2 linked regions of the Drosophila melanogaster genome follow. The protein of the gene in region 2 interacts with the protein of the main gene of each other region in a pairwise test. Each region holds a gene or a part of one and is shown on either strand. Other genes may lie near its edges.

The links. The genes of interacting proteins can lie anywhere in the genome.
Region 1: the proteins of Oatp26F (region 2) and nbs interact in a two-hybrid assay, tested with the Drosophila melanogaster proteins (one large-scale study listed by BioGRID).

The regions. Positions count from the first base shown.
Region 1 is NT_037436.4:9,719,885-9,725,148, reverse strand, and holds nbs (nbs), read left to right. Parts: upstream 1-1,954; 5' UTR 1,955-2,025; coding exon 2,026-2,044; intron 2,045-2,109; coding exon 2,110-2,931; intron 2,932-2,988; coding exon 2,989-4,523; intron 4,524-4,583; coding exon 4,584-4,664; 3' UTR 4,665-4,701; downstream 4,702-5,264. Other genes in the region: defl (deflated), read right to left, coding at 1-80, 138-1,607; CG14174 (uncharacterized protein), read right to left, coding at 4,702-5,264.
Region 2 is NT_033779.5:6,626,389-6,634,037, reverse strand, and holds the start of Oatp26F (organic anion transporting polypeptide 26F), read left to right. Parts: upstream 1-1,630; 5' UTR 1,631-1,719; coding exon 1,720-1,954; intron 1,955-4,969; coding exon 4,970-5,292; intron 5,293-5,347; coding exon 5,348-5,522; intron 5,523-6,434; coding exon 6,435-6,537; intron 6,538-7,275; coding exon 7,276-7,649.

The DNA of each region.
Region 1 (5,264 bases), on a different chromosome or scaffold from region 2:
TGTTGATCGCAATTCTCCTGGTCGATAATGGTGTTCAGCTTGTGCAGAATGAGCGGCAAACGAGCTAGCATGGGATTTATCTGTGGTTAAATTAGAAATTAGAAATTGTTTCATAGATGTATTAATGCATTAGATACCTTGGGCGGGGGCAACTCATCGGTGTCCATCGCGTTTTCGTCTACTATCAAATCTTCTGCGGTGGAAAAGGCGTACTTACGCAGCTGAAAGTGCTCACACAGACCCGCCAGTGCCTCGCACATAAGTTCCGCATTGGCTGGCGGATAGGCACCCTTATCTCCCAGGCTATTGGTCACGATCCCAATGAAGGATGTTCCAAATTCAGCGTTGGCTTTAGTGATCCTTATACCGTATGTCAGCACCCTACGGAGATCGCGGGTGCACTCCGACCGCTTGGCCGTGCAAAGGAGCAATCCTTCCATGTGCAGGTTGACCATATGAAGAATATCGTCCACCTGCTCGCCGCTGCCCTTTTTTTTTAAACCAAATGCTACTAGAACCGACAAAACTGCCATGGCCTGAGTGGCGGTGGTGTAGTCGTCCAGCTTGCTAATGCACTGGATGCACAAACGGAGCAGGGCTACGCGATGCTCGCGAAGCAGCTGCTGGCAAGTAAGCGGGCACTCGCTTAACTTCAGCAGGATTGAGAGGAAGAGGAACTGCTCCTTGGAATTGGTACACAATTCAAAACGATCAATGAGCGCTTTGATGGCTGGCTTGGGCCAGGCATGAACGCTCTGACGTCCGGCCAACTCGTTGAAAGATCGCAGCACCTGTATGCGTACTGGTGTCCTTAAGTCCTGCATGAAATCCAGCAGAACATCCAGCTGACCGGGCACTCCCACCAGCGTTCGTGATGACAATTGAGTGAGCGTGTCTATGATGGCCACCACAAAGCTCTGGGCTGGATATTTGGGCAGCAGATCCATGCACAGTCTGCTAACCAGTGACGCTGTGGTAGCCTCGTGATGCATGTGTCGCAACACGGGAATCAGGAGCAGCTTCATTGGCACCGGCACCTGAAGCGATTCGATCATGTCCGAAATCTTGGCGCACATGCTGATGGCAAAGGAACTTGACTGGGCGGCAAAGCAGCTGCTGGCATAGATGGCAGCCTCCACCTCGACGGTATCGTGGCTATCCAGAGCACGTCGAATGGCATGATGAACCTGTTGCTTCTCGGGAATCACACGGGAAACGGCGCCCAAGGTGCGCAGGAGGAGAGCACGCGCCACCGGATCGTTGGAGTGCATCACCACAAAGATACAGCGCACAAAGCTGTCAATGTTGAGGATCTTGTCCAGATGATTCTCGCTCTGCTGGCAAACACGGAGCACCCAGAAGCGCAGCAGATTCGATCCGCTGACAAAGTAATCGGCCAGCTTAATGAACGACGAGTTGATGAGAATGGGAAACGGATACTTCTCGAAGAGGCGCGGAAAGCGGACGACCGCCTCGCACTGGATTCCCTGCTTGGTGCTCCGCAGTCCCTTGTCCAGTTCCATGAGCACCGCATTCGAGTCGTGCTCATTTTCGTTAAGGAAGCTCTCGTTGAAGGTGCTCACGCGGGTGCCGGTCAGGTGAGACATGGTTACAGGTTTCCTCACTCACATTTATCGCAGATAAATCGTGTTTATTGAGGTTTTCATTAGCCAAACGACACAAAAACAAACCGGCTGCAAATGCTTCTTCTTGCTAATTTGTCGTTCGTAGGAAACTCCGGTATCATTGCAGCGATAGCTGGTCACTTAACAGTAAAAAAAACGTTTGAATCCAAAGTCTATATTGTCAATTCTTTATAAGCGTTTGTCGATCGATAATAAAATTATCCTGATTTCTAAAATAAGAAAAAAATCAATTTAAGAAACAACTATTAACTTAGAAAATTATGTAGAAAGTGATGTAGCCTATTATTCTCACTCCTTCTTTGTCTCTGTGTAGATAATTTGCAAATCTGCTAAGGTCACACTGCTCGCTATTTGTTGAATTTGTTAATGTTTTGAAATTATGTTTGTTTTGACTAAAGGCACGTAAAAATGGTCTAAAACACAGAGATTATTAGTTTATTCATTTTTTAAATACTCTTTATAGATGACGAAAAGTTTGTGTTGTTTCCTGGCAAAAAGGTGTACACCATTGGTCGCCTGGCCACGGATTTAATTGTTGCGCAGGACCTCAGTATAAGTCGCAATCATGCCCAGCTGCTCATCCAAACGGAAGCGGATGGCGATGACACCCTGCATATCGAGGACCTTGGCTCCAGATATGGCACTTTCATTTTCCCCAAGAATTCCCAAAAGCCGCGCAAGGTGCCTGCCAAAACATCGACTCCATTGCCTGTGGGCACACGCTTGCGATTTGGCGCAAACATGAGCATTTGGCAGGTGACCCAACTGAAGTTGGTTACAACTGTCTCCGCATTAACGCGTTCCGAGGTCCAGGAGCTCACGAAGATGCTTGAACCCATGGGCGGCACGGTCACTTCGAACTGGACCGAAGAGTGCTCCCATCTAACCATGAACGAAGTTTCGGTGACCGTGAAACTACTGCACGCTATGCTCGAGAATAAGCCGATTGTGACATTCCCCTACTGGCGAAAGATGCTGCAGGCAGCGCAGAGCATCCATGTCAAGGAGGGCTGGCCTCAGCCGGAGGATTACCAGCCCACCAACATAGATGTCACCTGGCGTCCTGAGCGTACCCGTCTCTTCGCCGGCAAGACATTCGTCTTCATGAACCGCAAACACTTTGATATGTACGGATCAGTTGTGCAGAAGGCTGGAGCCACGTGCAAGGACATCAATTCGGGTGTGCGCAAAACATTCCTAACAAAGAGTGATGTGATAGTCATACAGTATGTGCCATCGTCCCAGTCGCAGGCCACTGAATCAATCAATAGTATACAAGATAGGTGTAAATATATTGCTCACATCACAGCGTTTAAGTATTATTATGTATTATAATTTTTAGATATTTTGGAACAGAATGGTCGACGTATTATCCAGGAGTACGAGATTGGCATGGCCCTAATACATTGCTCTATAACAGAATTCTGCAACCCAACGCACAAGTTCATCTCCGATTCATTGCCCACCACGGAGTCTGTAACTTCCTCGATGGCCTTTAACTCTTCGATCATTGTGCCCAACACGGAACGCCACTCGGCGCAATCCAATGCCACGCCCATTTCCGAACTGGTGGTGCCTGAGTCAATTGAATGTGAAATGGAACAAGATGCTTCTAAGCCCCATTCGGAGGACCAAGCTTCTTTGCGTAAGCGGAGTCATGCCTCAACAGTTGACTCCTCGGACGAGGAGAAGAAATCAACATTGTCTAAGCGAGCTAAATCGGATATCGCTACGAAACTGACCATGAAATCAAAGAATGCCATATTGTTGGACTCGTCTTTGGAAGAAGATGTGACACCAGCTCCGGCGCCTGCTCCAGTTCAACGAGTAACAAGGCAGAGCAAAGCCATCGCTGAGGAGAAATCCGTACATCCACCTGTTCCAGCTGCGAGTAAGCACATAACACGGAAGACCAAACAGGTTTTTTGTGTTGACTCATCGGATGAGGAGAACGAAAATGCTCGGAAACCAAAAGAAACGCCAGCTCCAACTATCCCTTCGATGGCCAAGAAGAAAACGGAAGCACCCGTTGCCACCAGGATTTCACCACGACTCAATGGGAAATCATTGGCCACAAATATTACCAACCAACCGGCTGACAAACATGCAGTGCCTGCAAAACGTCCTGTTTTATCGGTGGCCTCGAGTGACGAAGAAGATGAAGGGGACCTATTTCAATTCCGTAAATCTCCACAGAAGCCAGCAGAGACTGTGGTTCAGCCAAGAATCGCAGGCAAAGGCAATGCACCTGCCAGAATCAGTGTAGTCGACTTTCTAGAGAAATCACAGGCACAAGAACCAGCTCCAGTGCCACCCCAATTGGAGTCCCAATCCCAGACACAACCGCGCAAGCGTTTACGCCTTGAGCTGCTAAACGAAAGCGACAGCGATGATTGTGATAATCTTTTTAACTTTGCAGACAGCAAAAAGAAACGAAAGACGCAAGAGGCTCAGAGAAATGATGACTCCACGGATGGCTTGTTTAACTTCAACTCTGAAAGACCGTCTGATCATGATGACGAGGATTCCCGGTTAACCGAACCATTTGTACCCGAAACGGAAAGCAAGAAGCAATCCAAGTACATAGTGGCACCGCGTAGAGATAGACCCAAGAAAGTGGACATCAGTGGTTGGTTATCGTGTAGCAGGCTAAACGATAATATCAAATCCGAAATAGATGCAGACTCAGTTAAGATGGAAACCTCTATTAAGGCGGATCCCGATGAGGAGCAATGGCTGGCCGCCATGAAAGACAGCATTGAGGTGCGCATGTGCAACTTAAACATTGTCATTCGCTCCCAGGAGGAAGTGGATGCTTCTCTTGAGGATTCTGTGAACAAGCATGGCGGCCGCAAGAACTTTAAGAAGTTTGTAAAGGTGAGTCTCGAATTAATAACAAATATTAAAACGACTTATTTATTTGTGTACCTCTGTTAGACCAAAAATCCTCATCCCCAAAAGCGAATTGTTGCGCTTAAGAGTCTTCGGCTGGCTGATGGTATGGTAACCTGTGTTTAATGTCGTGCCTAAACGTAATTAACCGTCGCTTGTGAAGTTACTTTATTTTGCTAACAATAAACTTGCGAAATATGTTCAACGCCTTTTCCGGCTCCTTGGACAACTTGCGATTGAACATCGTCTGTGCGGCCAGCCACTCGTGCTTGGCTATCTTTCTGGTAAAACAACTTTCTGGAGGAGGATTCAGTTTCCTGGCCTGCGACTCGCGTTCAATGAACTTCTGTGCATCCGCCACCGTGGCCAGAACGTTTTCATTGAATGTGGGTTTCTTTGTATCTTGAACGGGTGTTTCCTTCCTGGCAATTATGGTGCCCACATCAGATTTGGCCAACAGTTTGGCTTTTTCTACTTTGGTGACGACTTTTTTCGGTATCAGGACAATGTCTGGTGTTTCGTCTTTCTGCGTTTGGTTATTAGTTCTCGTTGGAGGTTCTAATCTGGCAGGAAGCTCTTGATTCTCCGCCAGAAACTTGTGCTTCTCCACCTGCGGAAAGTTAGCAATCTGGGGGCGCAGTTTGTTGTAAAGTATGGCACTTTTGCCGGCCTGCAAGGAGCTCAGTTTGCTAATCTTGGCAATGGCAGCGATTAGCAGCGTGGTGA
Region 2 (7,649 bases):
AAATTCTCCCGCCATAGGATTACTTAACACCTATGTATAGTGCAATTCATTATTTTAATTTCTTCTCGCTTTCTCAACTCAAATCTAAAGTGCAAACTAAATCGGTTCAACTGAAGTATTACGAATTGGAACAACTTTCAAAACAACTGCTTACATAAATTAGGTACTTAATCAGCTTACGAATTGCCACTTATTTTGTTTGTAATGTAATTAGCCCACCAGCCAAGAATGAAAATAACGAAACGGAAGGAAGTCTTAAGTTCAATGACATTGTGCAATTAATAATCGTACATACTTATTTCACAACCCAAAACTTAACAACGGAAATGAAGCGCAAACGAAAACAAAAGTACCCAAAATAAATCCAATTGATCTCATTATGTGATATTTGTCGTAGTGCCCAAAGCGTTCACTGTACGTGTATCTATAACCAAACCATACCATATGAGTTAAGTACAGGGTGTGTACATTCGAACACTTTTGCTCTAAGTAAACTTGCTCAAGCCATACCCATCAACACCAATGTCTTCCCGGAACCATGCAACTTTTCAAGATGTCAGCCCTTAATGGACCTACCTAAACGTTATAGATACAATTTAAATGCAACACACACACACACACACATATAGATACATATATATTTAATAACATGTAAACATACTTTGATTCATGGAAGATCTTGTAAATACCGCGTGTGTACTCTCTATTGGAAGATGGGGAGTCTAGACGAAGCTACACCGAGCTCCGATATATATATTTTTTTTTTGCTCTTTGTTAACGATTTTTGTTTTTGTTTACTATTTTATTGTTTAATACTTTAAGTGTAACAATATGGATATGTGTATATATCTATATATTATGTACGTATTTAAGTAGTCAAAAGCAAACAAATTTTTCAAATATTTTCCAAAATGTTTCAACGTATCTTCATCAGTTAAGTGGAATTACTTAAAAAATGTACTGTACTTAATTTACAAATAGTTGATATTTCTGGTGCTTACCGGTCGCTAGAAGTTTGCCTTAAACTAGATCCCCGTTTTTTTTGGCCAACTGAATTCACCAGCAAACCAATTAAATAATTTGTTCTTCGCTTAAAAAATTTGTTTTTTTTTGTCAATAGCTATGATTTTATTTAACATTGGCAAGTTTAGTACCTATTTTACATAAAATAAGTTTATAAATTAGAAGAAAAAAACTACTAAACCGAAAAATTTATTGAATAAACATGAAAGTTGTAATGAAACTATAAATGAGTTTAAGTGGGTCACTTTTTAAAATTCTTTGTGTTTGATAAATATTTGCCAAAAGGGGAATATAATTTATATTTCATAAGAGAGGAGTCACCATGCTCCCCGCCTGCTCCATCGTCGCCTCACAATTCCCCAGATAATACGGCTAACGAAAGCAGCGCCATGACAACTGTTGATAGGTGCGAATAAGTGAGTGGAGTGGAGCGAAGCTGAATGAGTGGGTGGGCGGGTTGGTGTTTCATTCATGAATCCGAGATGTTCCGAGTGGGTGTCGGTACAGGCACAGCAGGGTGGTTTGATTTCCTTCAACAGACCGCTGTTAGCGACGAGTCCTTAACAGCAAAGTCGGGCTGAGCTGAGCTGCTGTTTGAATATCTGAGCTCAGTCAGTTTCCGGCCGTCGTTCGGTGCGGATCGCAGAGGCATTCGTAACGCGTCTTGTTGTGCGGCACCAGAAAGTGAAAGAAACCATGTCGGAGGCTACCATTGAGCTGGACTCGAGCATCGCCGTGGCACCCAAGTGCTCCAATGTGAACAACAACAATAGTGCCCGCTCCAGTCGGGTGGGCAGCTCCATCTCCGGACCGGATTCGGATGCGGAGTGCCAGCGATTTGGATGGTGCGGCTGGAATCCGGCGTGGCTACAGCGCTTCTGCACCGCCAAATGGGCTCTTTTCTGGCTCTGCTGGGGCGGTGCTCTCCAAGGTGATATATTTTCTCGTTCCGAATTGCTTACTTAATTCCATTAAATGGTTCGTCGCGCGAATTTTGCGCCCACGCTCGTTTGCTTCTTGAATTTTGTGTACATCTCTTCTCGGTTAAGCGGTTAACTTAATCATTGTAATCACAGTGGAGTAACATAGTTTTTAAATTTTAATATTATAAATATATATACATATAAAATTATCATTTGGATATGATCATAATAACAAAGACAGCGATTAAGACAATGAATAATTTATGTAGAAATGTTCTTTACTTTTTCAATATGGTTTAAAGTCTTGAAACAACATTGGTAATCTAGAATAATTAACTTGGCTAACTTGTCCTGCGACTTAAGAGCTTGGAATAATATTTATTTGCACGGCAGACACCGATCCACCTTTGCCATCTGGAGTATATTGAATCAACATGGCCATATTTTTCTTGATTACAAGACAAACTTTTGCTAAGAAAACTTTCAGCGAGCCTGTGTATCCGAGAAGTCTCGAGTTGGCCAAGACAATGCAATGCGAAGGCGATGAGGACATCCGCATCGCTTCATTAGCATCCTGGGCATTCTCAGGCTCGGCCAGCAGGACTGTGTGCAACAGATAAGAGTTCGCCCAAGGAGTTGGGCATGGAGTTGGAGCCCGGCCGTAGCTCCTGTGAATGAAGGCGAATTAAAAATTAATAATGCCTGGAGCAGTCGGGGTACGGATGATGCTCTAGCCCGAGGATGCATTAACCTCAAAAAATCACCGCACTTTGAATAGTTTGAAAGAGCGACTGGCAGTGTAAATGGACCCAGTTTTGCCAGCGATTTCCAAAGGATTTGGTTATGGGCGCCCCAGTCCCTTGAATATGGAATATGGCATTAGGCGGGGAGGAGGCGTGATCCGGAGAGCGAGAGGGCAGCGGCATAAATCAAAACAATGTTAATCGCTGTTTACCCAACACCAGATCCCCGGCTGAACCAAGCCGGTGCTGGTACTGGTTGATGCCCATGGCTACGGCCTAGCTTCGTCACCAGTTTTCCCACTCCTAATGGGTTCAAGCGGTTAATTAAAATTCGCCAATTTCACGAAAGCTGACGACACGTTTATGGCTGTTCCGGGGGATTCCGGAGATTAGGCTGTGTTCCAGCGATTGAATGAAATTTGCAAAAGTGCACTCGGCTCTACCACTTTTGGATGGCTGCCAGCGAGCATGGAGATGCAAACGTGAGGGAACACTATGCTAGAAGCCAAAACTTGATTCGATTATTATCCTGTTTTTCTTAAGGCTAATCCTTGAGGAAGTACTTGATCCATGAGAGGCCTCCAAAGACCTACTTTTTTACTCTGCTGTTTCAGTTTTTAAATAGTTCATAAGGATATTAAGGCTTTAAGGATTCTTAATGCTCTGATCGGTTGAGGAGGGCTTCACGCGAACATCTCCGCCAGGATGCCGACCCAGTATTTATGCCTTGGCCGTGTGCTGTAAGCAAACTGAGTCCATCCATGCAGTTCTTGCAGCTCGAATGGCCGGCTGGCATCTGTTGCACTTGGCCGCTGGATGGGATGGAATGGAATGGGCTCCTGCTCCCGCCTCCGACTGACCCACGACGTGCGAAGGCTTCCGTTTGGATGTGGGTGACACAGAGTTGGAACAACCAGCCGGCCGCCCGTGGCTCGGCTTACGGATGCGGATGAGGCGGCACGTGACCGAAAATATTAATCAGTTGACACGGCATTAACATAAATCATCCGCAACAATTTTGGATGGTCGCGTTCGTCGTGCATCCAGTTCAAATGGTTTATTGTTGTTTTTATGGCTACGAGTTCAGCGTTTTCCTATGGAAATGAGTAATTTAGGCGTATAATTCATATGCATGAATTAGAAATGGCAGTTATGCGGAAGATGTGAACATGTGTATATTACGATTCTAGAGATCAACTTTGATAAATGCATAGGCAGTAATCTTCAGATACATATATGTTATTGTACTAATCAGTTAGTTATACTCTTTAAATTTTTCATAATTTCATGTAAATATCTTTACTGCTAATTAGGCAAACAATTTGTATCTTTGTGCATCGCACGCATCCCAAGGAAAATGCATCGATGCACATGCAAAATCCTAGATTGTCACGTATCCAATACAGCCGTCTACACTTCACTTTATACTTCAAGTGACAAAGGTCACATTCGCACTCGCACTCCCGAGTAAAACCTTCCCCGTCTCAAGGTTTCCATTGGGATCTATTAAATTATTGCACTTAGTGGGGTAAATGACTTGTAAGTGTCCCCATCCACTAACAATATATCCAATGCTCCCTTTACAAAGTTTCCTCCGCTTTCTAACACCTTTCCAGCCAAAGATGACCAGCAGACCTCTTCTTTCTGGCGATTATTGAAAAATAAATTGAATTTGTTGTAGAAAAAAGAAATATTCTAAGCAACAATGGACTAGCAGGTGGCGGGGGTGGGCGGGCCCGCAACTAACAGATATTTATTTATGATAGAAAATTCGCCTAAGCCCTCAAAATCAATTTGTCGTGCAGATATTTAATTTATGACCCGCCCCCGTGGCACTCAATTCCCCTCCCCTCTGCACTGTCAGCAGGACTACACCCGCCCTCACCCTTACGGTCTATTTTTTTTGCGACAATCTGTTGATAGTCTGCCATGAAGTTACAACATACAACACCATGTCATAACTCTGCCTCTGGGGGATGATCCTTAAAGAAGGATGCCAAAATGTTGAGCGAAAGGTGTCTTAGAGATGAAATCCTATCCATCTTAAACTTCAATCCATCTTCGAATTAGTTTAGTTTATATTTAATAGATTTATCCAATAAATCTGACATTTCTTGCCCTAAAAAGCTTGCTACACATTTTGCAATGGAAGAAGGCATCCACTTCGAGTTTTACTAGAGGATTATCTATCTAAAAAATCCAGTCGCCAATCTAAATATATAGTTTTTCCTAGCATTCCATCTTCATTACTAATGTTTGAAAAGTTTATTTTCCCTCCAGGTCTCATCGTGAACGGCCTGATCAATGTGTCCATCTCCACCATCGAGCGTCGCTTTGGACTTCGCTCCCGGCAAATGGGACTGGTGGCCAGTGGCTACGATCTGGCCTCCTTCGCCTGCCTAGTACCAGTTACCTACTACGGCGGACGACGTGGTGCCTCCAAGCCGCGCTTCATCGCCATCGGACTGATTGTGATGGGCATGGGATCGCTGGTCTTCCTGCTGCCCAATTTCCTGGTGGGTAACTACCGGGCCACTATTGCCGAGGCCAATGTGTGCGAGACAACGGGATTGCCGTTCAACTCCAACTCCAGCCAGTCGATGGTAAGCAGACACTTGCCATGGCGACCCGCTGCGATTAACTCGTATATCCTTGCAGACCGCTTGCGAACTGAACGCAATGGGGGAGGGGCAGAGCGAGAATCTGACCTGGACGGTGTGGCTCTTCCTGGCCGCCCAATTGCTCCACGGTGCCGGAGCATCGCCCCTCTTTACGCTGGGCGTCACATATATCGATGAGAACGTCTCAAAGAAGATGTCATCTGTTTACTTGGGTAAGTTGCAAACGACGCAGCCGTTGATAAGACGCGCCGAAACTTTTGTCTGCCGCAGTCGCACAACAAATGAAGTATGCACAAATACCCACACTTCTGGGCAGGATTGGGCTGGTGGTGTCCTGGCTGCGATATCAAAGTATCTGCTAGTTTCGCTCACACATGCATATTTATTTTTATTCGCCTTATTGCCAAACGACGTCGTCGGCTACAAAGGGAGTAAATACTATTTGCTATTTGCTCTTGCGCCCCCCGCCCAGAGTTCTCAGTTCGATCCCAATCCTGGCGAGGGTTCTCCGCTCCTTTCCCCCCTCGTTTGACCCAATTTTAAAGAGCCAGATTGTTGCTGACTCAGTTGAGACGCGGATCTGGGAATGGGGGCCAGAGCCAGCGGCAGCTGAAATTTATTGCCTCTTAGTTAGGTTTATCGTGCCATCCGAAGACGACAGTGAAATTATCAAACCCGTCCAGCATTGCCGCTTTGCCTTCCTGGATATCGCTGTCTGGCATTGAGACAATTGAAATTCGCTTCATCCCGGGGAGGCAGGCCCCCCTTTTGGGGCTGATGGAGTAGCTCCAGGATGTGATGGCACGGTGCGTTTCAAAGATAAATAAATAAAGGCACAATCCGCCGATTGGCTACTCGCTTCTCAATAGTTTTTGGCACATCCAGCTAATAAACATATTGCATACTGGGCAAGATTATCGAAGCAACTATCTTTGATCTTGAAATATCTTTATAACTTTGAAACGTACTGTACAAACAGGAGTAGCAGAATCAAGACCTTTTTCATGCAAAATAAAGATGTGACTAACTGATAATGATAATTGGAATAACTTTTGAATTCTTGACAAATGGCACATCCAATTGTTCGTAGAGTTAAAGTTTAATTGAGAAGTTCATTGTTGCAGGCATCTACTACACAATGGCCACCGTTGGACCAGCGATTGGCTATGTATTCGGTGGACAACTGCTGCTCATCTATACGGATTGGATGACCGTGGATCCCGTTCAGTAAGTGCATCTGATAAGCTCGCAATGATTGTTATTAATCGGGCGACTTAGCGCCAACGGATGAAAAAGGGAGTGCTGATGGAGATAAAGAGCAGGTGACTTTAATACCGGCCTTGGGGGAGTGGAGCATGGAAGGGGAACGGGAATGGGAATGGGAATGGGGGTTTCGATGCTGTGGAGCTTATTTGTTACCCGGCAACGGCAAATGCCACAAAGCACCTCGCCGTGTAAATATCTCCAGAGAGTAATAAAACAACATTCCCGCTGACAACGAGGAAATAAGGTGCGAATGAGAATGAGCATTTGTTTGATTCACCTTCACGGTGGGCCGTTGGGTGGTGGTTGGATGGTTGGATAGCTGGGAATGGAGCAGAGTCGCACCAAAACGGAAACCCATCTACATCCCAATCCGGCCGGATTCAACCGCATGGCTTATTGTCAAGGTGATGCCATAAGTCATAATGTCTGCTCAACCTTAGCCCTCCAGTACGTAAATAATGTCGGGAACATGGAAATTTTGTTTATGATTTTGAACATGTTTACGAGTGGTTGGGCTTATATTTTTGGAGCCATTTTAACAAAATATGAATTGACGCCAAGTTGGAAACATCATAGGTATAGCCATTCTGTTTGCATTCATTTCTCTGGCTTTTGATTTGAATACTTTAATCGATTTAAACTAATCACCTTAGTAAGCTAGATCCTTTCTAATATTGAGTCAATCTTGGCCCCTTGCAGACTCAGCCTGACCAGCGACAGCAAGGTGTGGATTGGAGCCTGGTGGCTGGGCTTCATTTTCGCAGCCGCCATGTGTCTGCTCATCGCCTTGCCCATTTTCGGATATCCCAAGTTGCTGCCCGGCGCGGAGAAGTTGCAGCTGGAAAGGGTTTCCGAGGCACATGCCACCATATCGGAAGCGGATGACTCCAGTAATGTGGTCAGGGGACTGCCACGTGCGGTGCTCAGCCTGCTGGCTAATCCCACCTTCTTTTTCCTGAACCTGGCCGGTGCCACGGAGGGTCTGGTGATAGCCGGATTTGCCGCCTTCCTGCCCAAACAGATCGAGAATCAGTTCAGCATTTCGCCCATGTACTCGGCATTGGTGATGGGTC